3 linked regions of the Saccharomyces cerevisiae S288C genome follow. Changing the gene in region 3 together with the main gene of any one other region gives a genetic interaction. Each region holds a gene or a part of one and is shown on either strand. Other genes may lie near its edges. The genes, in order: PEX29, NCE101 and SPO75.

What was found.
Region 1: mutations in SPO75 (region 3) and PEX29 together harm fitness more than expected from each alone (negative genetic interaction), as found in Saccharomyces cerevisiae (2 studies listed by BioGRID).
Region 2: mutations in SPO75 (region 3) and NCE101 together harm fitness more than expected from each alone (negative genetic interaction), as found in Saccharomyces cerevisiae (2 studies listed by BioGRID).

The regions. Positions count from the first base shown.
Region 1 is NC_001136.10:1,414,710-1,422,137, forward strand, and holds PEX29 (Pex29p), read right to left. Parts: upstream 2,166-7,428; coding exon 501-2,165; downstream 1-500. Other genes in the region: SNM1 (Snm1p), read left to right, coding at 1-462; DIG2 (Dig2p), read left to right, coding at 2,690-3,661; alkaline phosphatase PHO8, read right to left, coding at 3,841-5,541; U2-type spliceosomal complex subunit CWC21, read right to left, coding at 5,722-6,129; alpha-1,2-mannosyltransferase KRE2, read left to right, coding at 6,448-7,428. UniProt on the Saccharomyces cerevisiae protein: Involved in the regulation of peroxisome number, size and distribution.
Region 2 is NC_001142.9:47,371-53,867, forward strand, and holds NCE101 (Nce101p), read right to left. Parts: upstream 3,074-6,497; coding exon 3,042-3,073; intron 2,899-3,041; coding exon 2,769-2,898; downstream 1-2,768. Other genes in the region: AP-1 complex accessory protein LAA1, read right to left, coding at 1-63; YJL206C (uncharacterized protein), read right to left, coding at 289-2,565; RCY1 (Rcy1p), read right to left, coding at 3,259-5,781; PRP21 (Prp21p), read left to right, coding at 5,971-6,497. UniProt on the Saccharomyces cerevisiae protein: Involved in a novel pathway of export of proteins that lack a cleavable signal sequence. May be part of the export machinery or may also be a substrate for non-classical export.
Region 3 is NC_001144.5:137,440-146,159, reverse strand, and holds SPO75 (Spo75p), read left to right. Parts: upstream 1-5,613; coding exon 5,614-8,220; downstream 8,221-8,720. Other genes in the region: SFI1 (Sfi1p), read right to left, coding at 119-2,959; ORC3 (origin recognition complex subunit 3), read right to left, coding at 3,237-5,087; ERMES complex subunit MMM1, read right to left, coding at 8,294-8,720. UniProt on the Saccharomyces cerevisiae protein: Acts as an osmosensitive calcium-permeable cation channel. Required for spore wall assembly and ascus formation.

The sequences.
Region 1 (7,428 bases), on a different chromosome or scaffold from region 3:
CGATATCAAATCATGCTGCCAGAACAACTGAAAAGTGGGAAATTTTGCTCCCATTGCGGGTGTGTTTACGTTCCTAATTTTAACGCAAGTCTTCAGTTAACGACTAATACCGAGCAAGGTGACTCCGACGAACTTGGCGGCGAGAGTATGGAAGGACCAAAAAAATGTATCCAGGTTAATTGCTTGAATTGTGAAAAGTCTAAATTGTTTGAGTGGAAATCTGAGTTCGTTGTTCCAACATTTGGACAAGATGTTAGTCCGATGATCAATAGTACCAGCAGCGGGAAGGTTTCGTACGCGGTAAAGAAGCCCCAAAAGAGTAAAACTAGTACTGGTAAGGAGAGATCCAAGAAGAGAAAGTTGAACTCACTTACAAACCTTTTATCGAAAAGAAATCAAGAGAAAAAAATGGAAAAGAAGAAAAGTTCGTCACTGTCATTAGAAAGTTTTATGAAAAGTTGACTGTATCATCAGTGAACATATAGTATAACAAATCAAGTTTATATAGTTGAATTGAGAGTGTCTGTTAGCTCTTCGATTGACGGATAAGATGCATCCGCGTCGATATTGTTGAGATTAGGAATAGTACCGTTTATACTTTCCTCATCAGCGCGGTCATCATCACTACTGTGAGTTAGACCGCCACTCATTGAACCCTTCGTCACGCCATGTACGCCTTGCCTATATGTTTCTTCCCTCAATGGATTAACTACTTCCTCCTCACCAAGGTTTGAAGAAATACCAGAATCCAGTTTTTTCCGCACGCAACTGTTGGTCCACATTCGCCTTCTATATGAGCCCCTTTGTCCATCAAGATTGAGGTCATAGACCCATTTTGTTTCTGAATCTATCTCGACATACTGAATAAATTCGTCCTCTACCCATTCTTTTGGATCCAAATCAAGCACCCAATGAGAATTGGCTTCCCATTCCCAATCCTTAGGTGGCTCAATTTCTTCTAATGACTTCACTGAATTTTCCTCAATACGCCTCTGGTATATTCTCAAACTAGAGAAAAGAGAATAATCGTCATCAGAGAATCCAACTGGGCGCCATTCTTTGTATTCAGGAAGATACTTTTGGATCTCAAAGATCATAACAAGTCGGTGCTCCCTAGCCTCAATGAGTTTCAAATGCTGCAAAATCTTAGATTCCAGATTAGTACTTATAGTCAAAGTTTTTAATCTTGTCTCCTCCGAATTCAATTTAGTCAACAAATATTCACGATTGGACGGATGCGAGGCAATAAAAAAACCCCAACCTAGCAGTATCAGTACGGGTCTCATTGGAATGAGCTTGATAAATTTATCCATGTACAGAAAATTTAATGTTGCTATTATTAACAATACAATAAAATAAAACGACGAAATAGCCTCGTTGGTGAAGAATGCAAACTTTTGTAATATGAGTAAAGTAAAATCGTAGAATTTAACATATAGCAGCATATGGTTTTGTAAATCCGTGAGGTTTAAGACAAATTCTTGGCTCAGTTCAGGGACTGGTTTAGGAACCTCAGGTCTTCGCAAAGGTGGGCCTTGTGCTGGTGTTTGATTATTATCTAGATAGCTTGTAGGGTTTGGCTTATGAATGTAAAGGTATTGCGGGACCATTACGCAGAATAACAAATAGAATATAGGGAGCGAAGAAAGCATTTGAAAAGGTTTCAATATAATGAGCGTGTATAAGAACATGATAGATACTGTATACGCTGGGTTAGTCCAGTTTAATATCTTTATTAATTCATCCATAATCATGAATGGTACCCCTAGTCTCGAGTTCATCTGTATAAAATTCCTACTCGTGATCTGCACAGACAGCTTAGGCCTTTCTTTACCAGCAACCATACGATGGTGAATTGTATCAACAGCCGTTTTGGAAGATGGTGGTAATGCCATTTTGATTATCTTCTCTACCAGGGTATCTGCCATCATCTTTTGGATGTTTGATGTCGAGGGAAAACCGCCACCACTAGTTGGCTGTCCACTGGAAGATGGCAGACTACCACGTGTAGGATCACTAGTTCTAGAACCACTAGATATGCTCTCTTTCTTTGCCTGACTTTTTCCATCTATGCCATTTTGCACTTTCTTCCCCTTGAGAGTTGATCTAGTTGGAGTACCAGCATTATAGGTGTCATTCCAGAAAAAATTTGTCACCGAGTCCATCTAGACGTATATACAGTAGGAGACTGAAATTTTGCTACGTATACAGGTGAGTATATTCATGCGGCCTGATCAGTAATTAAAAATACACACTATTCCTCGTTGTTATTTCTTAAAATTAGTTCAAGAAGAAGGGGTAACCCCTAAGCTTCTTAAGTTCACCACAAAAGTATTACTGGATAGTGAAACAACAACCACCCATAACATTAGTTTCCTAAACACTACGGCGGTATTCACCTAGACGCCATCCTAGAAGGCTACAAAGTGATGCACGTATGATGATATCGGACATTAGAGCGTATACATACAACAGGTACACATAAAATTGTGATATGTCACAGCTTCATCACCCGGCGGACACGTCTATTAAATTATCAATAATTACATAATGTGCAGATCAAATAAACAATAAACATACAGCCATTTAAATTTTGGTTATTAATGTTATTTTTCATTTCTATTGCTTGCAGTGGTATTTATGTGGTATAGTTAAGCCTGCAGGAATATTTAAGCAAAGAGGGAAAATTATGAATAAAGAAGAGCAAGAAGACCCACAGCAAGAGCAAATATCAACTGTTCAGGAAAATGATCCCAGGAATTTGCAGCAACTGGGAATGCTGTTAGTATCTCCAGGGCTTGATGAAGACAGATTGAGTGAGAAAATGATTTCGAAGATCAAAAAATCCAGGGATATCGAAAAAAATCAAAAATTGCTCATATCTAGGCTGTCGCAAAAAGAGGAAGATCATAGTGGTAAGCCTCCTACCATTACGACTTCTCCAGCAGAGAAAACCGTACCCTTTAAGTCGCTGAATCATTCTTTAAAGAGGAAAAGGGTACCTCCAGCGCTAAATTTTTCCGATATACAAGCATCTTCTCATTTGCATGGATCTAAAAGTGCTCCACCAAACATAACAAGATTTCCGCAGCACAAAAATAGCCTTAGGGTCAGATATATGGGTAGGATGGCTCCTACGAATCAAGATTATCATCCTTCAGTGGCCAATTCATATATGACAGCAACCTACCCTTATCCATATACTGGACTGCCACCAGTACCATGCTACCCATATTCTTCAACTCCAACACAAACGCACGCATACGAAGGCTATTATTCCCCGATGTATCCCGGCCCCTTGTATAATAATGGTATAATACCAGCCGACTACCATGCAAAGAGGAAGAAGTTGGCTGGTAGATCACCACACTTGGAAGATTTGACATCGAGAAAAAGAACCTTTGTCTCCAAACACCACAACGGAGACCCAATCATAAGTAAGACTGATGAAGACATTGAATGCTCTGTCACGAAAAATTCATTAAGTGAGGGCGCTTCACTTAACGACGATGCCGATGATGACAACGACAAAGAAAGGATCATTATTGGAGAAATCTCTCTGTATGATGATGTTTTCAAATTTGAAGTTCGCGACGACAAAAATGACTATATGAAAGCATGTGAAACAATCTGGACTGAATGGCATAACTTGAAGAAATGACGAGATTTCACTTCTTCACGCTATAGAATGCACCTAAAACTCGCCTGCACTCCGAAACGAAATGCGATACAGTACGTGTCATGCGGTTAGTATATATACATATATATATATATATATATATTCAAATAAATTATAACGTATTAAATAATATGTGAAAAAAGAGGGAGAGTTAGATAGGATCAGTTGGTCAACTCATGGTAGTATTCGTCATAATGTTGTACTTCACTAGCTATTTCTGTAGCATCAAAATCTGATGTGTGTTTGGTGTCCCTAATCAAATCAGTGACTTCGTTCAGGTTCAATTCTAAAAAGTTTTCTAAGAACTGGCCAACTTCCGTATTTTCGTGATTGCCTTGTAAATTGTTCAAGACATATGACCATGTAGCTTTCTTATTGGCGTATGCATATATGTTGACGTCGACTGCGCTGTGACCATGCGTGGTCCAGCCAATTTGGGCCCTAAATGATACCATGTCATTCAGTTTGTCTTGGATAGCATTTGCGTTGTCATCCAAATGAATTAATGTTTCTAAATCGCTATCCGTGTAATCGTAAATACCCAAATCTTTTTCCAGGATCTCATGTTTGATGAAATTTTCTATTTTGCTGCTTGCGCCCTTATGCTCATGAACAAAATCTACTAGTTTTCTTTTCAAAAACTCACCTGAATGGGTGGCGTTGGCGAGCACCTGTGGATACCAGACATACTGAGGATAGCTAGCAGTGACTTGTCTTGAAGTGACTAAACCACCCGTTTCATGATCCGACGTAGAGACCAAAACAGTCTCCGTATCGGAATTTTCAGCAAACTCCAAAACGTATTGGAATGCTTCATCGAAAGCCAACACCTCCCTTACCTGCGAAGCTGGATCGTTTTGGTGACCAGCATGATCAATTCTGGAGCCTTCCACCATTAAGAAAAACCCATTAGAATCTTTGTCCTCATTGGAAGCTTTTTCCAAGGCACCCAAAGCCACCTTGACTTGTTCCTTAAGGGAAGGATACTCCTTTTCATCTCTGTCAATTTCAAAAGGAATGTCGTTATCTGCAAAGAGACCCAAGAAAGGTAAAGTAACGTTTTCACCGTGGCTTTTCAACAAAGAATCAAAATTTTTACGGTCACCCACGTACTGCCAGCCATTAGATTGAGCCTCATCGATTAAATCTCTTCCATCTTTTCTAGCACCGTGGTGACCATATGGAGAAGCCTTTTCGCCTTGAGGGTAGAAATGGCTCCTGCCGCCACCCATGAGTAAGTCTACTACTCTCCCCAGAGGATATTCGCCTAACTGGTGCGTAGCGATAAGATCTTCCTGCCATCTGTAATCAACATGTGAACTGAATGAAGCCGGAGTGGCATCTGTGATTCTTGTCGTAACAACAAGCCCAGTGAGATAACCTGCTAACTTAGCCGCCTCGAGCACTGTACCACAAGGTCTGTGATGCGGATCAACACCGATGGCCCCATTATAGCTCTTTAATGCACATGCAAATGCGGTGGCGCCCGCAGCTGAGTCAGTGACTAGTGAGTCCGAGGACCTTGTTCTCGAAGACCCGATAAAATGCTCGTCAAGTGTCAGGATGTCGTCTATAGGTAAATCATTAACATGCTGGTTGAATGATCTTGCCATGGACAAAGACGCAGGTCCCATCCCATCCGTCACGAAGAATATGACATTCTTCTTCTTGTGTGATGCAGAACGTAATGCAAAACTGCTTGGAAATGCCAGTTGCACTAAAACCAGCAACAAACCAATACAGACCACAGTGGATACTATTATCTTTGATCTCTTCGAGATCCGTCTCTTTTTAGGACGAGAGCTCGAGTCAGATCCAGGAACAAGACGTGTCTGTTCGCTTGGTAATGTGTGAGTCATCATGCTGCTAATGCGCGTTCAAATAATGTCCCGTATGCTGATATGTAAATGTTTATGTAGCCACTTGCTGGCAAAATGTGGAGCACGAAAAAATATAAACGTTTAGATACACTTCTTTCTTTATATACTAAAATCCCTTTACTTTTCCTCTACGCGCGAAGCTTATCGCTATCGTCAATGCTGCTATTCATGTCGATGCTGCTCTTCCGTTAGACGCGCCTTACGAGGGGTGTACAAAGAGGACATCCGCTGCTGTTCTTGCCACTCGTTCGTCAGTTTTGCCCTCAACGCTTCACATTTCTTGTCAATCTGCTCTTCCGAGAGCGTTTCTTCCTCCTCCAGTCGGTCCCGTAGCTCGCTAACTTGTACTTCAATCTCACGTTTCTCCATATGAGTCTCTATCTGTTTCTGCACAGCAAGAGGCCTGCTTGCCTTGTCATGGCTGGCCTTTTTGATCGCATTTTGTCGTTGTTGCCGCTGCTGTTGACTACCCTGTGGTCTGCGCCTATTGTTGCTAGCAAGTGATCGCTGCACGTGGCCCGACGTAGATGACCCTTTTGCCGACTTGAGCCCTATTCCGTTGTACGACATGACTGGACGGTGATGCAGTAGCTGTTAACCGTCGAATGGTATTGTGTAGAGCTCAAATTAGGATTACACAGATTATAATACCACACTTATAGTGCCATTCTTGAGGTCTTACTTGATTCTTCCTTGCCTTTACCCGCACGCTTAATATAATTTTTCCTTCTTATCTGCTACGCCTTCTTCTAGTAGGAAAAAAAAAAGAAATTTGGTGAAGAAACAGTCTGAAAAGGAGATAATTTGCGATTTAATTCGTTTATACATTTTATGAATCTATAATACTGGAAGTGATATCCATATTCGCAAGCAGTTCCACTCGAAAGCATGGCCCTCTTTCTCAGTAAGAGACTGTTGAGATTTACCGTCATTGCAGGTGCGGTTATTGTTCTCCTCCTAACATTGAATTCCAACAGTAGAACTCAGCAATATATTCCGAGTTCCATCTCCGCTGCATTTGATTTTACCTCAGGATCTATATCCCCTGAACAACAAGTCATCTCTGAGGAAAATGATGCTAAAAAATTAGAGCAAAGTGCTCTGAATTCAGAGGCAAGCGAAGACTCCGAAGCCATGGATGAAGAATCCAAGGCTCTGAAAGCTGCCGCTGAAAAGGCAGATGCCCCGATCGACACTAAAACAACCATGGATTATATCACTCCATCTTTTGCTAACAAAGCTGGTAAGCCAAAAGCTTGTTACGTCACTTTGGTGAGAAACAAGGAGTTGAAAGGTTTGCTAAGCTCCATTAAATATGTGGAAAACAAAATTAACAAGAAATTCCCATATCCTTGGGTTTTCCTAAACGATGAACCTTTTACTGAAGAATTCAAGGAAGCAGTCACCAAAGCTGTTTCTTCCGAAGTTAAGTTTGGTATTTTGCCCAAGGAACATTGGTCATATCCTGAATGGATTAATCAAACCAAGGCTGCTGAAATTCGTGCAGATGCTGCCACCAAATACATATACGGTGGCTCCGAATCTTATAGACACATGTGTCGTTACCAATCTGGGTTTTTCTGGAGACATGAATTATTAGAAGAGTACGATTGGTACTGGCGTGTGGAACCAGACATCAAGTTATACTGTGATATTAATTACGACGTTTTTAAGTGGATGCAAGAAAACGAAAAAGTTTACGGCTTTACCGTTTCTATTCATGAATATGAAGTGACGATCCCAACACTATGGCAAACGTCCATGGATTTCATCAAAAAGAACCCCGAATACTTAGATGAAAACAACCTGATGAGTTTTCTTTCGAACGATAATGGTAAAACATACAATCTGTGCCATTTCTGGTCAAAC
Region 2 (6,497 bases), on a different chromosome or scaffold from region 3:
TAATAAATCGTGACCATTGTTTGATGATGTTTCTATCACTTTCTTGAGGGATCGGTTTGCCATTTTCGTGGCCTGGGCTATTTATTTTATCTTTTAGTTTTTTTTAAACCTAATAACTATTATTTCAATTGAATAATAACAAATCACTGTTTCAATATGGCGATGAAAAAAAAAACGGCCACACACGGTATGCCACTATGTGGTGTGAGGAAGCAGATAAAATAATAATACATAAAAAGAAGGATGTAGAAGAATATACAGATATAAAGAAGTCGCGAGTTTAAAGGTTCAATTTACTGTTGGGTCAGAGCTGAATTCTGAGGAAAATATTTGATTGTTGGCAGAAGAATCTTGGCCAATTAGTGCTGAAAAATCGATGACATCAGGTAATACTCTGTTAATTGAGTAGTCAAATTCCTCAAATTCTGCTAGAAGTTTATCTAAGTATTCTTCTTGTGCAGCTGTCGTTGTATGGCTCTCATTATTGGTATTCTGAAACTTTAGATCAGCTTCCCCTTGTGGAAGATTCAGAATGGAACGAAGACTCGTGGCTGGAGTTTGGTGATGCTGCTGTCCATGATGTAATTCTCCTTGGCACTTCGTAAAATTATTATTTGTCTGCAACTGGGGCACTAAAGCTCCACTACTTTCTTGCCGTTGCAATTTAACTATATTCAAAAGTTGTTCAGATAATACAGAGGTCTTCTCGTTAAACTCTTTGAACAATTGGTTCAATACTTCAAAAGTACGTTTACTCGCATTTGAAGCACCCTTCAAAAGTGATAATATTTCACTGCCAAGCTGCGTAGCGTTATGAATATCCGAATCAACCTTCCCATTTCGTATCAGGCCCTTTTCTGTTTGGTAGACATAAAATTTGAGGCAAGCAACACTAAAAAAGATTGTATGAATGGAAAACCAGTAGCTACCACTCAAAAGGTTTTGCGTAATCATTTCATAAGATAATTGAATAACTTTTTTGGCAACTTCAATACAGTTTTCCGCCATGTGAATTTGAAATTGGAACTCTGGGATATCTAACGGGTCTATAGAAATATAGTGGTAGAATGGTTTATAGAGTACGATTTTGGATAGAAGGAAGTCCAGATATAATAATTTCTTAGGTTTAGTGTATGGAGAACTAGTATCATTTGCGGAAACAGTTAGAGGTGGTTGCGTTTGACGATACCGTATTGTGTCAACCTTCAAAATATCTGGTAATTGGGCATACCAATTATCTAATTGATCGTTCAACGATACAATCTGCGTCCTAGAATCCTCTTCTAATGGTTTTCTTCTCAAAGAGTACATTAGCTTGTAGATCCGAGACATGATTAAAATAAGCTTTGTATGCTTATTATTCATTCCACAGGAACTTATCGTTCGCCAATCTTGAAACTTTATTCCAATAGTAGATATATTTTCATCGTCGACGTCTAGAGGAAACTCTTGGTCGATATCAGATTCGTCGATACCGCTTGGAAAACCAAGAATACAATTCATGTACAGATCTAGTTTGTACACAGACCAAAAGAGCCTTTTTTTTGTCTCATCCTGAATCGGAGTAGGACCAACTATGGAAGACCGCCTGTGTAAACCTTCCTTTAACGCAGCACGCAGAGCGATACCAATGAACGAATAGCAAGCCTTCAAGTTTGCTGAACATTGCAAAAAGATCGTCATCATAAATATAGCTTGAATGGAATAGATGTCAGTAATATTAGAAAAGTCCAAAGAGTTTTTGGCCTCTAAAAAGTATCTGTAGCCTTCATCAGTGTAAAATTCCCTAGTTGCTTTACTATCCTTGCTGAGATCTTCCTTAGAAAAAAGGGCTCCGACTGCTAAAACAGAATAAATTAAAGGTTGTGTTTTCACTTGTTCTGGAGTATATTGCTTGCCATGTTTTTCTGCTTCGTATATCGAGTCCAAGATAGAAATGATAGTAGGTCTGTGATAGAACCTAAATAGCACACAGGCACAATCCCAGGTCTTTTGAATAAATTTCAAGGCAATCTCTCTGGGTGGTAATGGAACACTTGTTTGCATGTGCCAAGGCGTATCTTTTGGTAGACTTTGACGTATTACCTGATTAACATTTAATTGTCCTTGAAGTAGACACGTTTTAATAGTGTCCAAAAAATTCTGGCTGTTAAAAGAAGAAGAAGCAAGTATTTGACGGAGTGTTTCAGGTGGAAAGATCGTCTCTACAACCTTTTTGTAATCAATGGAACTTATAGGGCCCTTGCTATCTTCCCGTTCGTGGGAAGCTCTCTGTGCATATAAGGAACTATCATCGCTTACTTCCCTATCAAATACCGATGAGTTCCGTGGGGGGCGATCATATTTGCATTCGTAACTATTAGTCTGGCAAAGTCTACATGGTATATTACCACTACATCGTACTTTCCTCTTTCTGCAAGCTATGCAAGCTCGATGTGCTCTTCCTTTCGTTGGCTTCAATTCGTTGGTGCCCGCATCTCTAGATAAAACCAAAATCTTAGATCTCTTGCCTTTCAACTTCTTCATTGCACACGAAATAGGCTTTCCAGATTCTTTCGGCGTCATCTATTGAATAATTCTTTGGTCTAAGTTGTATGTATTACTCTTTAAATTGAGACAATCAAGGAAATCACACATATAAAAATACTGTGGATCTGAAAGATTGGGTTTTTATAGGATAAATGCGTATAAAGGTAGATCCTAGGATTAATTATTATGGTATTTACATATCGCCAGAAACTTATATATACTCCCCTCACGCCGGATTATTATTTGCGATCGTCCCATCGCTTCTTTATGAGCTCGTGTAAATGATGACCTTGTGGACGCCCCATTTTCCTTTCGTACACATAGTAGCTGAGACAGCCTACCATAATTGCCAATAACGGATCAGAAAATCTGCAATAGAGACCAGCTTGGGAAAGAGCACATCGACTTGTTTGATGTTGCCTCTTCGAAACAGCAAATGGTTAACTATGCGTTAGTAAAAGAATAAGTGTGAAAAAAAAAAAAATAGAATAGCGTATGAAGAATGAACATACTTTCCTAATAGAAAGGGAGCGTACTGAACCATGTTATCGATGATCTTGTGTGGAATCCTCTTATAAATGGAGTGAACATTTGTATGCCCCTTGTGTGCGTGTGGCTAACAGGGAAAAATAGAGCCCGCGTAATCTTGAATAATCTAATATGTGAACAGTCTTTTATTTCCGCACTTCATACCTATATAGAGTAATATAATTAATCATTGATAGGAATTTACATAATGCAGCAATCTCGTATGCCTAGGCCGTACATTACCTTTTCAACGTCTTTCCGTACACGAACCCAATCGCTTCTCCTCTGAACAAATTCATAAATTTCCTCTTGCGTAAAAATGCCATTGAATTTCCCAAGATCAGAAATAAGCTTTCCCAACTCTTTCGAGTCCTTGCCTGAAATGATGTATAACTGGCCAATAGACTTAAGCCCAACAAAATAGGGAACAACATTTTTTTGTTTTAATTTGTTAGCAATAAAATCGTAAAAGTAATTTAAATCGCAGATTAACCAAATTGCGCCCTCCGTAGATATGAAGCACTTCTTCAGATGTTTGACGATTTCATTAAAGAATCTCTCGCCAATTTCTTGTTGGTACACGTCAATAGTACCCTTGTCTGTGGCACCAGTCAGTAGAAAGCAATGATTAGAAAGTAACTCGACTACCCTGATAGCACATTTGGTTGGCTTTATATCCCTTATTGGAGAATTCCTAGAGGGTGGCGGTGGATTATAATCGTCAGGCAATTGAAGAGTCTTGAATACAAATGAGATTTCATCCATTAGTTTGTTTATACCGATATTTAAACCTTCGGCTACAAAATCATCGATAGAAGTCTCAAAATTTTTTTTTAATTGGATAACATCATTAAGAAAATCTTTATTTTTATCGATAATTTTTTTGGGAATCAATTCGTTCTTGTAAAAAATGGAAATCATTTGTAATATTATGTCACCTATATTGATAAGTTCAGTGAATTGTACTAAAGGTTCGACTTGAGTATTGGCTGGCGAAAGTGAATTGAATTTTATTTCTATTTGTTCTATTTCGTTAGGATTATATTTTTGTAGTAGCAGGATTGCCTTTTCAAATGCAGGTTTAACGTGATTTTTATTCAATTGTGTAATTAAAATTTTGAAAATCTCTTGACAGCGTAGCTTGATCAATGGTAGCAAACTTTCAATCGTATGAAATTTGTAAATTTGATCCGTCTTTTCGCTTGTTTCCTGTAAAATTTTGTAACATAAATCGAGACTTATTAACGATTTAATGTTTTGCAAGTTATTGGAAATTAAATTTAAGTTGTAGGCTAGTTGTAGTTGTTGCTTTAGCCTTTGATTTTCATTGTTCGAGAACTTGAAAATCTTGGTGAAGGAACTTAGAAAGTCTAGTTTATCATTAGAAATATCAGTTGAATGAACTGATTGATGGATCGTACTTGGTTTTGAATCCGCTTCTGGGACAGTTTTGGAGGTTTCAGTAATTATTGAGAGGTCATTCGGCAATTCATTGTTACTTGCACTCGAAGCATCCGTTTGATCTTTTAAAGTGTTATAAATTTTTGCGTTTTGCTCACGCTGCTTGTCTTGAACTTGTGTGTCATAATTAGCTAATTGTGAGTTGATCAATGATTCAAATACTCTAGTTGTCTGATTCATATAGTTGACAACAAAGGGCTCGAGATACAGGTTTAAAAGGTCACGAACAACTTTACGGAAATTTGCGCCTGCGTTTACTGAGTCGTTTAATTCAGTATCAAACTTTTTTATAAATGTGAAATAAAGTTCGGGTACGCATTCATAATTGGCTTTACTATCCTTTCCATTTTCTTTTAAAAATTCACTATAGCTTAATAAGATATTGTTTAAAATATCTAATAAAATATCTTGGATAAAGGACTCGATGAACTGTAATATTACAGGGAACTCATCTTTGAATAAAATGTCCGCTAATTTAATCTTTTCGTTGAGGAAATCCCTTAGCTGATTGAGAAACGTATCTAAATTTTTAGAATTAAATATCACGGTACTCCCACCGCTGTCCTCTTCCCTTGGTTGTTCGGCCCAAAATAATTCATCATTAGACGGCAAAACCGTTAAACTGGGAGGCAAATCAGCCTTTGACTTGAAAAATTCGATAGCATTGCTTTCCTCATTAGATATCAATAAAATTTTCATGAAACGAGCGACGGCAGCTAAATTATTAGACTGGTAATTCAATTCTGACTCTTTGAGAACAGAATTAATGAAGATTTCCCTAAGAATGTTGAAATTAGTTTCAATCCTAGTAAATGTTTCTATATCATTTTTATTCGAGAAATTGTACTTTTTGATAAAATTTAGAATTCTTGTTTGTTTCAACGGATCGTTGGAATATGAAGTAGGAAAGAAATTTGCTAGATTATTATTATATAGCTTCCTAGCGTATGAGTTATAACAACGGTAAAATTTCACAAAGATTTTTTTAGAATTTTGAGCAGTGAAAGATTTGTATATTTCGAAGATGCGAAGGGAATTTTGATTATCATTTTCATCCAGCAACGTAATTTCTTCTTCTTCATTTGAATGCACCTGTTGGAGACCCATTCTAGTCAATTTCAATGACCAATACTTTGAATCATTTTTGCCGTTAATGATTGCATAAACCCGTTTATTCACTTGTTGAAAACTCAGATAATCTACAGTAGATAAATATGAGGCAATATTGGTTACAATCTCGGGAACTTTTAGCAGATCATCCATTTTACCGATTTCCTCAAAAGCTTTTGTTTTCTTTTGGTTTTTCTATTGTTTGTCTGTTGACCATTTTTTGATAAAATAAGAACCTTCCTTCAACGAAATATTTCGGCAAAAGTTAGCCTTGAAACACTTAAATACAGGAAGAAATAAGGTAAAGCGTAAAACTAACAGCAATAATTTGCAGTTGTATAAATGGAACCAGAAGATACCCAGCTGAAAGAGGACATTAAAACCACAGTAAATTACATAAAGCAGCATGGTGTTGAGTTTGAGAACAAACTGCTAGAAGATGAGAGATTCTCATTCATCAAGAAAGATGACCCACTCCATGAATACTACACCAAACTCATGAATGAGCCAACAGACACTGTCAGCGGTGAAGATAATGACAGAAAGAGTGAGCGAGAGATAGCAAGGCCGCCGGATTTTCTGTTCTCTCAATATGATACTGGAATATCCCGAAGAGACATGGAAGTAATCAAATTGACAGCACGCTACTATGCAAAGGATAAAAGTATTGTTGAACAGATGATTTCAAAGGATGGTGAAGCCAGATTAAACTTTATGAACAGCTCACATCCGCTACATAAGACATTCACTGATTTTGTCGCCCAGTACAAGCGAGTATATTCTTTTACTGGTCAAGAAATCAAGAAAAGTAAGAGAACCATTTTAGATAATTGTTTTGAGAGAACACAGTATTGGGAATTTGAGAAAGA
Region 3 (8,720 bases):
TAGTATGTTGTGATGTTTTCATAGACCTGGAGAATATTATTAGTAATTGTATGCATCTCAGAAGCAAGAAAGGTTACGACTACATATGCACACATACATACGTACATAATATATATATCTATTGACGTTTACGACTTAACGGGGATTTATCATGCTCTCTTATATAATCCATATCTTGATCGATTTTAGGAGAATTGGCGCTTAGGCTAAAAGGTACAGCGGGTATTCTGCCAAAATCAATATGGTCAACTTTGGATGGCATGTTTCTAGTGGTACGCCTAGGAGAATACCTTAGAGGTTTTCCTCGCGTCGGAGATCCGTTTAAGCCTGTCGTACTTTCAAGGTTGATCTGTTTTTTAGCTGTAGAATCAAGAACACTGGAAGATTTCACCGGACTTGGTATGGCTCTTCTTGCCCTGCTATAATGCGACTTCATCGCTTCCATTCTGTGCTGCTTTATTCTTTCTGAGCCTGGTATGGTTGAGGCGTTTTGAGAGTCTGATCTTATGGGAGTTTTTAGTTCATGTTTAAGATTGAAGTCCTTCCTTCTCTTTGGAGAACTGTCTGAACGATTTTTCCATAATAATAACAATCCCCTTACAGTGGCCCTGTCCCACCGATGACGAAACACCTCGACTGTCTCATCATTACGCTTAATTTTTAGGAATCGAAGACTCCACATTTTCAAGAATTTGGATGTAATTATGAATTGTTTATTAGCTTCCGATTGTTCCAATAATGTACTCATATAAAATATTTCGTCTAGATGAGTTTTCCAAATATAAAACGTCTTGACTAACACAAATTCTTCGCGAACTTCGTCTGCTAATTCTTCTGATTTTACTATCTCTAAAAGTCTTTCTCTAAATTTCTTCAGCACCATTTTTTCAAGCTGGTAGTTTCTCTTTGAAATAGCCTGAATGTTACATTCTTCTGTGTAGAAGCAAAATCTATTTCGCCAAGCGTTGAACAGTTGGCTTTGAAGTTCGCGCTCTTTACTCTTTTCATAAACGTGTAAAATATCGTTTAACTTATGCCTGACTTTGAACCTTGTGGCTTTCCGCCACTTTAAAAAGGCCTTAGAAAGCTTTACTCTATCCATAGAGGGCGCCAGTTTCGTATATAGCAAATGAACATTATCAATATGCATTAGCGTCCGTTTTACAGTCAAAATTGCATGTGTCTTACATAAGAAATTGTATCTATCCTCCAATTCCTTAGTTTTAATCAGGCGTTCTTTCCATATAGCTAGACACTCATTTACGAGACCCTCTTCGTAAAATTTGGATGCTTCGTCATTCATAGAATTCATTTGTAGCATCCTCCTTTTCCACACACCAAGATATTTTGCACAAAATGCCGTTTTAACATGTTCGCTCGATATTTTCCCATACTGTATTCTTTTCCTCCATGTACGATACGCGCTTGCTTGAATACTCTTTTTACATTTCTGCTCAAATATTTTTAACTTTACTTCAAGTTTCCAACTTCGCAATGATGACTTGAGCAAATTAGTCCTCGAATAATCGCTTGCTTTGAGGTCAATATATAGAAGTTTTTTCCATGAATGAAAAATACGCTTCACGAGGTTAGCCTCTTTTAGACTTACAATTGAATACAAATGCAGATGGTCTTCGAATCTTTTCAGCCACATCTTCTCAAAAACGCACCTCAAAAGTGTCTGATTTAGTTTACTCTTTGCAATTGCCTCTTGTTGACTATGTTGAAATGACCGGTTTAATTTGCGAAAAAACTTTTGTTTGATGAATTTATTCTCCAGTTCATAAAGTGCCCCAAGTTTATCTTCGTTTTCAATGTTTTTCTTTTCCCATTTATTCAGATATTTTCTTTGTAGAGAAAACGACCTCACTTTTTCTGCAATGCTCTTATTGTATTCATAGTTTATAACTTTCTGTTTTATTCTTTCGAAAATCCTTCTTTCCAACCCGTGGTAGTTTATTTCTTTATGTCTTAGCTTCCATATATGAAATGTTGTTCGTAAAAATATCTTCTTAATGTTGTCAGTGTTAACAGTTTCTAAGTGTTTCCAATGCTCTTGTGCCTTTAAAATTTTCCTAAACATCTTATTCAAAAAGGCCTGATCTGCTAACCTTGACTGCTCCTTAAGAGTTTGTGTTAAAGTTATCCATTGTTGGAACGAGCGAAATAGTAGCCAAGTATTCCTAAAACTTTCAGCTTCATCGTTGGCCATCTGTGAGTATTTTAATGTTTTATCACTCCAAATATAGAAGACGGCTTCCTGTACCCTCAGCTTTGCTTGATTTGCAAACCTGTTTGCCTCTTCATTCAATTCACATACAGTCTTCCAGTGATTAAAATGTCTTCTGATTTTGTTCTTAGCGTAGGTATATTCTGCAAGGGACAATGCAATGAATTTGTTGCGAGGGTGGATTAAAAATATTTCTAAAATCTCTTCTATAACAGAATTGAAAGTGAAAAAACCTTTCAGTTCATCTTCCAATATTGTGAAGTACTCATCGCGTAAAGGATTGATGCCTTCTTGAATAAGAATATTGACATAGTTTTTGAAAATTTGTAAAAAACTTCTGGATAGTTTGAAATGAACCAAAAAAGCTTCAATCTGGCGGTATAAATCTTCGATTACCTCAACGGATATATCATTCAAATCATATCGTAAACCATTCTTAGGAAGATCGGTAACGTCTTCATACTCCAGATTTGTCGAATCAACCGGTGGAGAAGGAAGATGGAACGGCGGGTCTTCGAAAAAGCCTTCAGTTTTATTTAATTCTATAGGCTTTAAAGCGTTAACAATATACCTTTCTGCGCCTCCATGAATTAGTGATTCGGTGGAATCCGTTATTTGCCCTTGCTTGATGAGTACATCAGTGGGAATATTAGTTGGAGATGTCTCGGGTACGAATTTATCACGCAGAAGATTCTCCGTTGATTTATTTGTCGTGCCGAATTTGCCCATAACCTAGCACATATAGGCAATAGATTGTGATTAATAGGCCACCTTTATTTTTTTGTTGCTGCCTTCTTGAGTTTCCCATTGCCAATCTTCGCGCATCATGGCACTATCTATTTATTTTACCTATACATAATATTACCCTCCATTCGATAATAATAATAATAATAGTTAACACAGAAAAATGATGAGATACAGGTAGACTGTTCATTACAAAAACGTGGTTCTATGGTTCTATATATGTATGGTTATTTATTTACTTATTTATCCGTGCATTCTTTATCTAAATTCCTCTCCAGACACATTTTTCTACCAGATCGTAACTCTTGGTGCTTTGAAACTTAATGAGACCCATGTTTTCAAAGGCGAAGATTGCTTGCATGAATAAAATTAGTGCTACTTTGTCAAATGCGTCCGGTGTTTCTGCTAGTTCTAAGAGTTTGGTGTTGGAGGGATCTTTTCTTATGAAATTTAATATTTCCTCTTTTGGTAATGTTTCTCTGAACGCAATGTAGAAATCGTAAATGTTGATAGTCATATTCGCCTCACGATAAAGCTTGAATAGCTGACCCAGTACCGGAGCCATTATTTTATCCAAATCTCCAGAAAGAGTATCATAATTTTCTTTATCAAGCGAAGGCAGCACCTGCTCCCAACTTAGTAAGTTATCTTCGATATTTGACTTGTAAGAAGGGAAAATCGACTGGGTAAGTAATCCACTTCTGTTGTCCAAAGTAAATAGCTCTTGAAAAATTGTATCAATGGGTTCAAAATGAAGCCGATCCTTATACTCTTTACATGCTGACCAACGATCTAGATAGGAGTCTAGTTTGCCAATAAGCAAATTATGATATAATTCTATCAGATTAAAATTGGTTATATTCAATTCTTCTTCGAGGAATCGAGCAACAAACTTAGCATGCCCGTTAATCGGGTTCTCTCTTACCAAAAACTCAACAAAAAACTCTTCTAGGCCTCTGTTTTTGTTTGTCAATAATGAAAGAATTTCGTCAGCAGGAGCATGCTGCTTTATAAGACCTTCGACAAAGAACATGAATGTAGGACATCTGCTCAGTATTTTTAAGTAGTCGTCGTTCAAAAAATCAACATTTACAGGGTCAATGAATACTGAAAAGGCATTCTGGAAAAAGTACGACATCAACGAATAATCCAGCATCTTCGTCAATAATTGTAAGTTGTGATTAGTATTATTTGCCATCTTGCTGAGAATGAATTCCACAAAACGATCTGAAAGATTTAGTTTGCCATCAACCGTATCCAAAAAGCTTTGAAAGATTTGGTTTCCGTACTTAAATCCTTTATTACTCGACACGTCTAGTTTATGATAATTTCTCTTCAGAAGTCGTATGGTTGATTGTCTCAAATTTTTCTCAATATTTGACAAGTTTGTATTAATATTAAAGATTAAACTTATTTTAACATGGTCATACTTGAAGGCACTTTTCAATAGAATTATGAAGTTATCCAATGTGTTGAAGTTAATAGAATCTACATCTTTAAAATTAAATACCATTGCTAAGTCTTTTCCAAAAAGCCTTTTGAAGTTTTCCACAAGTGACAGATCGTATGATACATCATTGTTTTGCTCGGTAAAATCGCCATCTTCATCGTTAATGTCTTCATACTTGATAGTTGGATGTTCTTCTGCATCAGCTGCGCTGTAAAGTTTGTACATAGACCTACGAAGCATCATTCTTACATTCGGAGATTCTTTCGGAGTCAATTCAATCAAAACGTTGTAGCGAGAAGATTCGTCTTTAAGTTCAATTTTTGTCGTACTATCTGAACCTAATAGGAAAATAGTGTTAAAGCATCGCCTTTTCTGAGTAGTTTCACTATATAAAAGGTCTGAAATCTCTGCTTTCAAGTCTGCTTCAATATTATCGATAATATGATCTACTTGATCATGAAAGTGGGAATGTAACTGATGATACAATTCCCATCTTTTTTCCACGTTCACTTCCGATTCTTTGCCTGATAGAAGTTTGACAAAGGGAATGTGTTTATCATTTTTGTTACTTTGAGGCAAACTGGGGTATACTGTATAGTGGCTCCTTTGGGCGTCAGCAAACTCGCTGACGTTCATCTTTTTGGATTGGTTAAGGTCGCTCATCCTGTTGGACTACTCTTGTGATACTACGACTCTGTATGTAAACAATGCCATCTTTTGTCACTTTTCTTTTTCTTCAAATTACGGTGCGGAAAAATACGTCAGTAAATATCAAAAAGACACTAAAAAAGGCGTTAGTGGTAATGGAAGGTAAAAAAAATTCTTACCATCTAACAGAATGCTTAGTTCCATTATCATCACGTGTAGCGTTTCTGCTGGTCTTACTAAATATAAAGATAATAAAACAGCAGGTAATGAAACATTACTCTTGTGAAATTGTCAAGCCTGTCTCGTAACGCAACCAACGACAACCCTTCATCTCCAGTATAGTTTCAAGTTTCTGGAAAAGATTGTCTTTTCCACCTTTTTTTATTTTTTTTTCCTATTAAAAAAAAAGCTATTCTACAAAAAATTCTTTATGACACAAATTATAGCGTGTTTAAAAATTAAACAAATGTGCAAAGTATATTCACAGTAGACAAACTTCAGGAACTCTTTTTCAAAAACAAGAAAAAGACTTACCAAGAAGATGAATGCTACTAAAGAACTGACTTTTAATTTACTGAATAAATTTCAAGACAAAGAAAGATTTGGATCTGCGCAAAGACATGCTGGAATCTCACTAAAAGGGTTCATATCTGGTATATTGTTTTCTTTTTTGTACTTTTTATTTCAGCTGTCACTCTTTATTATTTTAAGATCAAGATTCAAGACTATATATCAGGCCAATGTCGTTCTGAAAATCCATCCAGGTTCTAAAGTTTGTTTTGCTAAGAAAAAAATAAAAAATTATTGGTCATTATTTGCATTTCTCAAGCAACTTCCCGGAAGAATGTTAGATCCTATGGAAAAATTCGAACGAAACGAAAGGTATGGCCTAGACAATTATCTATTTTTACGGTTTCTCAAACTTTTGATATTCTTTTTTGCAGTGTTATCAATTATCAACATTCCAATACTAATTCCAATCCATTATTTTTCCAGGGATATTTTGAAAGAAAATGAAGGTGAACGTTATGAGCAAAGTTTCAGGACGACAAGTAAACTTGACAAGTGGACCATGTCAAATCTATCACCTAATTCATCGAATACTTTAATCTGTCACTTGTTTTTGAGTATCTTTGTTGTACTCTGGTTTCACTTCATTCTTTCTTCGGAACTGAGGTTCGTTAATCGACTAGGATATTCCGTTTTGACGAAAAGTAAATACCAAAACATTCTATATTTGGAAGGATTCTCAAGTAAATTGGTTACCCAAAGTATTTCTTTAGAAACTTTTTTTCAGCCGCTACACAGTGATTGCTTTGGCGTGACGCATTTCATTCCAAAAAATTTGAAGAAAGTCCACAAATTAGAAATAAAGTTAAATAAATTACAAAAATCAAAAGAACAAATTATCTTTGAGATTATTTTAGAGAAATATTTTAGAAGAGTTTCAATACACAGGCATTTGATAGCAAATCACAAAAGATTTTTCTTTTCAAAGTTGAAAAACCATCTATTATTTCAGTACAAAAAATTGGTATTTTTAACTCAATTTAGAATTTCATACTATTGCACAAAAATTCGTCTGCGCTGGAAAAAGTCAAGCATCTTTCCGTTATATTACCCTAAACTGTATGTAAATACAGAAACAATATTAGAAAGGAAATACAGAATCCTTGATAAAATAATACGCAAGGAAAAACTCATTAAATTCCAAGTAAATTCCTTGAAAGCAACTTCAGAAACCAAGCAGGCACTGCCCGACGATTTATCGTCGGGCACAGACATTTATATGGATAAGATGTTCATTACCTTCAAGTCCACATTATTGTCAAACGTTATAGGTGAGTTGCTTTCGTATAGACTACCCACCCAAAATTTAAAAGTAATAATAGGCCCCAATGTTAATGACATTATTTGGAGAAATATCCTCGATTCATCACCCCTTTGGAAAAGTGCCAAATATTTCTCGGCAAATATATTGCGAATTTTTGTGATTATAGGCTGGATTTTGCCTGTCGCGTTCCTTGGGTTAATATCACAAATACCAAATATTTCCTCACTAATACCGTTTACAAAAATAATTCATTTCCAATCTCCATTTATAAGAGAAGTGGCAAAGAATTTGATTCCAATAGTAACCTTAATAATAATAATAGAAATCGTACCCTACTTTTTCCGTTGGCTGAGTTACCTTCGAGGGTTGAAAACTGGAGCGCAAATAGAAGCTGATGTCCAGAATTGGTATTTCGTCTTTGTCTTCATTCATCTTTTCGTAGTTGTTACAATATCTTCTGGATTTTCTATAATTATTGAGAGGCTTCTTAACAATCCTGTCAGTATCCCTGCTCTCCTGGCCAACGACTTGCCTAAATGCGCAAACTTTTTCTGTTCTTTTGTTTTGATTAGGGGAATGGCTTATGCAGGCGGTAATTTGTTAAGAATAAAAGAGCTACTTTTTGAATTGTTCTACTATAAATGGAAAAGGAGTACTCCACATGCTCAATTTAAGAGGTTAAAGACATCTTTATTTTTCCAACTAGGATCTATTTATCCTATATTCTCAGTGTTGGGCTGTATTGGTATCATATACAGTGTTGTTGCTCCTATTATATTATTATTATGTTGCATCTCATTTTCGATGGTTTTCTTTTCTTTCAGTTACTTGTTCAAATACCAATATAACAAAGAGAACTATTCTGAAACGTTCGGTAAATTGTACATACAGGCCCTTATGCAATTGTACGCGGGCATTTATTTCATGGAATTTTGTTTACTCGGGCTGTTCACTCTTTTTGATCAATACACATTGTCAACTATAATGCTTGTTGTCTTTGCTCTAACAGTAATCACGCACTCCAAAATCTCCAAACAAATAAAATCGAAGCCTCAACGCATACCAACTTTGGAATACTTGTCGAATCTAACAGAGGAAAGGAAGGACCAATTCTGTCAAGAAAGTTATACTTTCCATGATATTTTCTCCATTTGTAGAAATTCGGATGAAATTTGGCTACCAAGGGACAAACTAGGAATTTCTGAAGAAGAACAATCATTTTTGGAGAAGTCGTATCACCTGAAATTCGATCTTAATATGTATTCAATGAATTTATTTGGTGATTGTCACTTGGAGAATAGCCACTTGCACTAACCAAAACTGGAACACCAAAAATGAGGCAGAGAAGATAGGAAAAAGATAGAACAAAAAATTTGTACATAAATATTTATAACTCTGTAGGCTTTTCTTCTCTCGTATTTTTACTACGTGGCCACATACTTGGTAACCTGACAAATTGGAATCTTGGTTCAACGCATCGTTCAACGAACCATTTTTTTATTTGGTATTCAATGACACTGCCGATCTTGGGAATATTTTCAAGTTTAGACCGTGAGCCAATTAGCGACTTGATTTCAAATTCCATTCTATATTCAGGAGAAAAAGAAAACATCAAAAAGTATCCTGAATTGCCCTCCATACCGTTTTCACTACTGCTACCGTTCGAAGTAGAAGCAAACTCCTCTGCATTAGTTAAAGATACGGTCAAACACGCCTGAAACCTCACAATTGACACTACTAGATTTATGGGGAGTGCGGCAATACCAGGCTTTGGATAGTTAAGTAATAGTTTTGTTTCTACTCCTAAAGTTAAG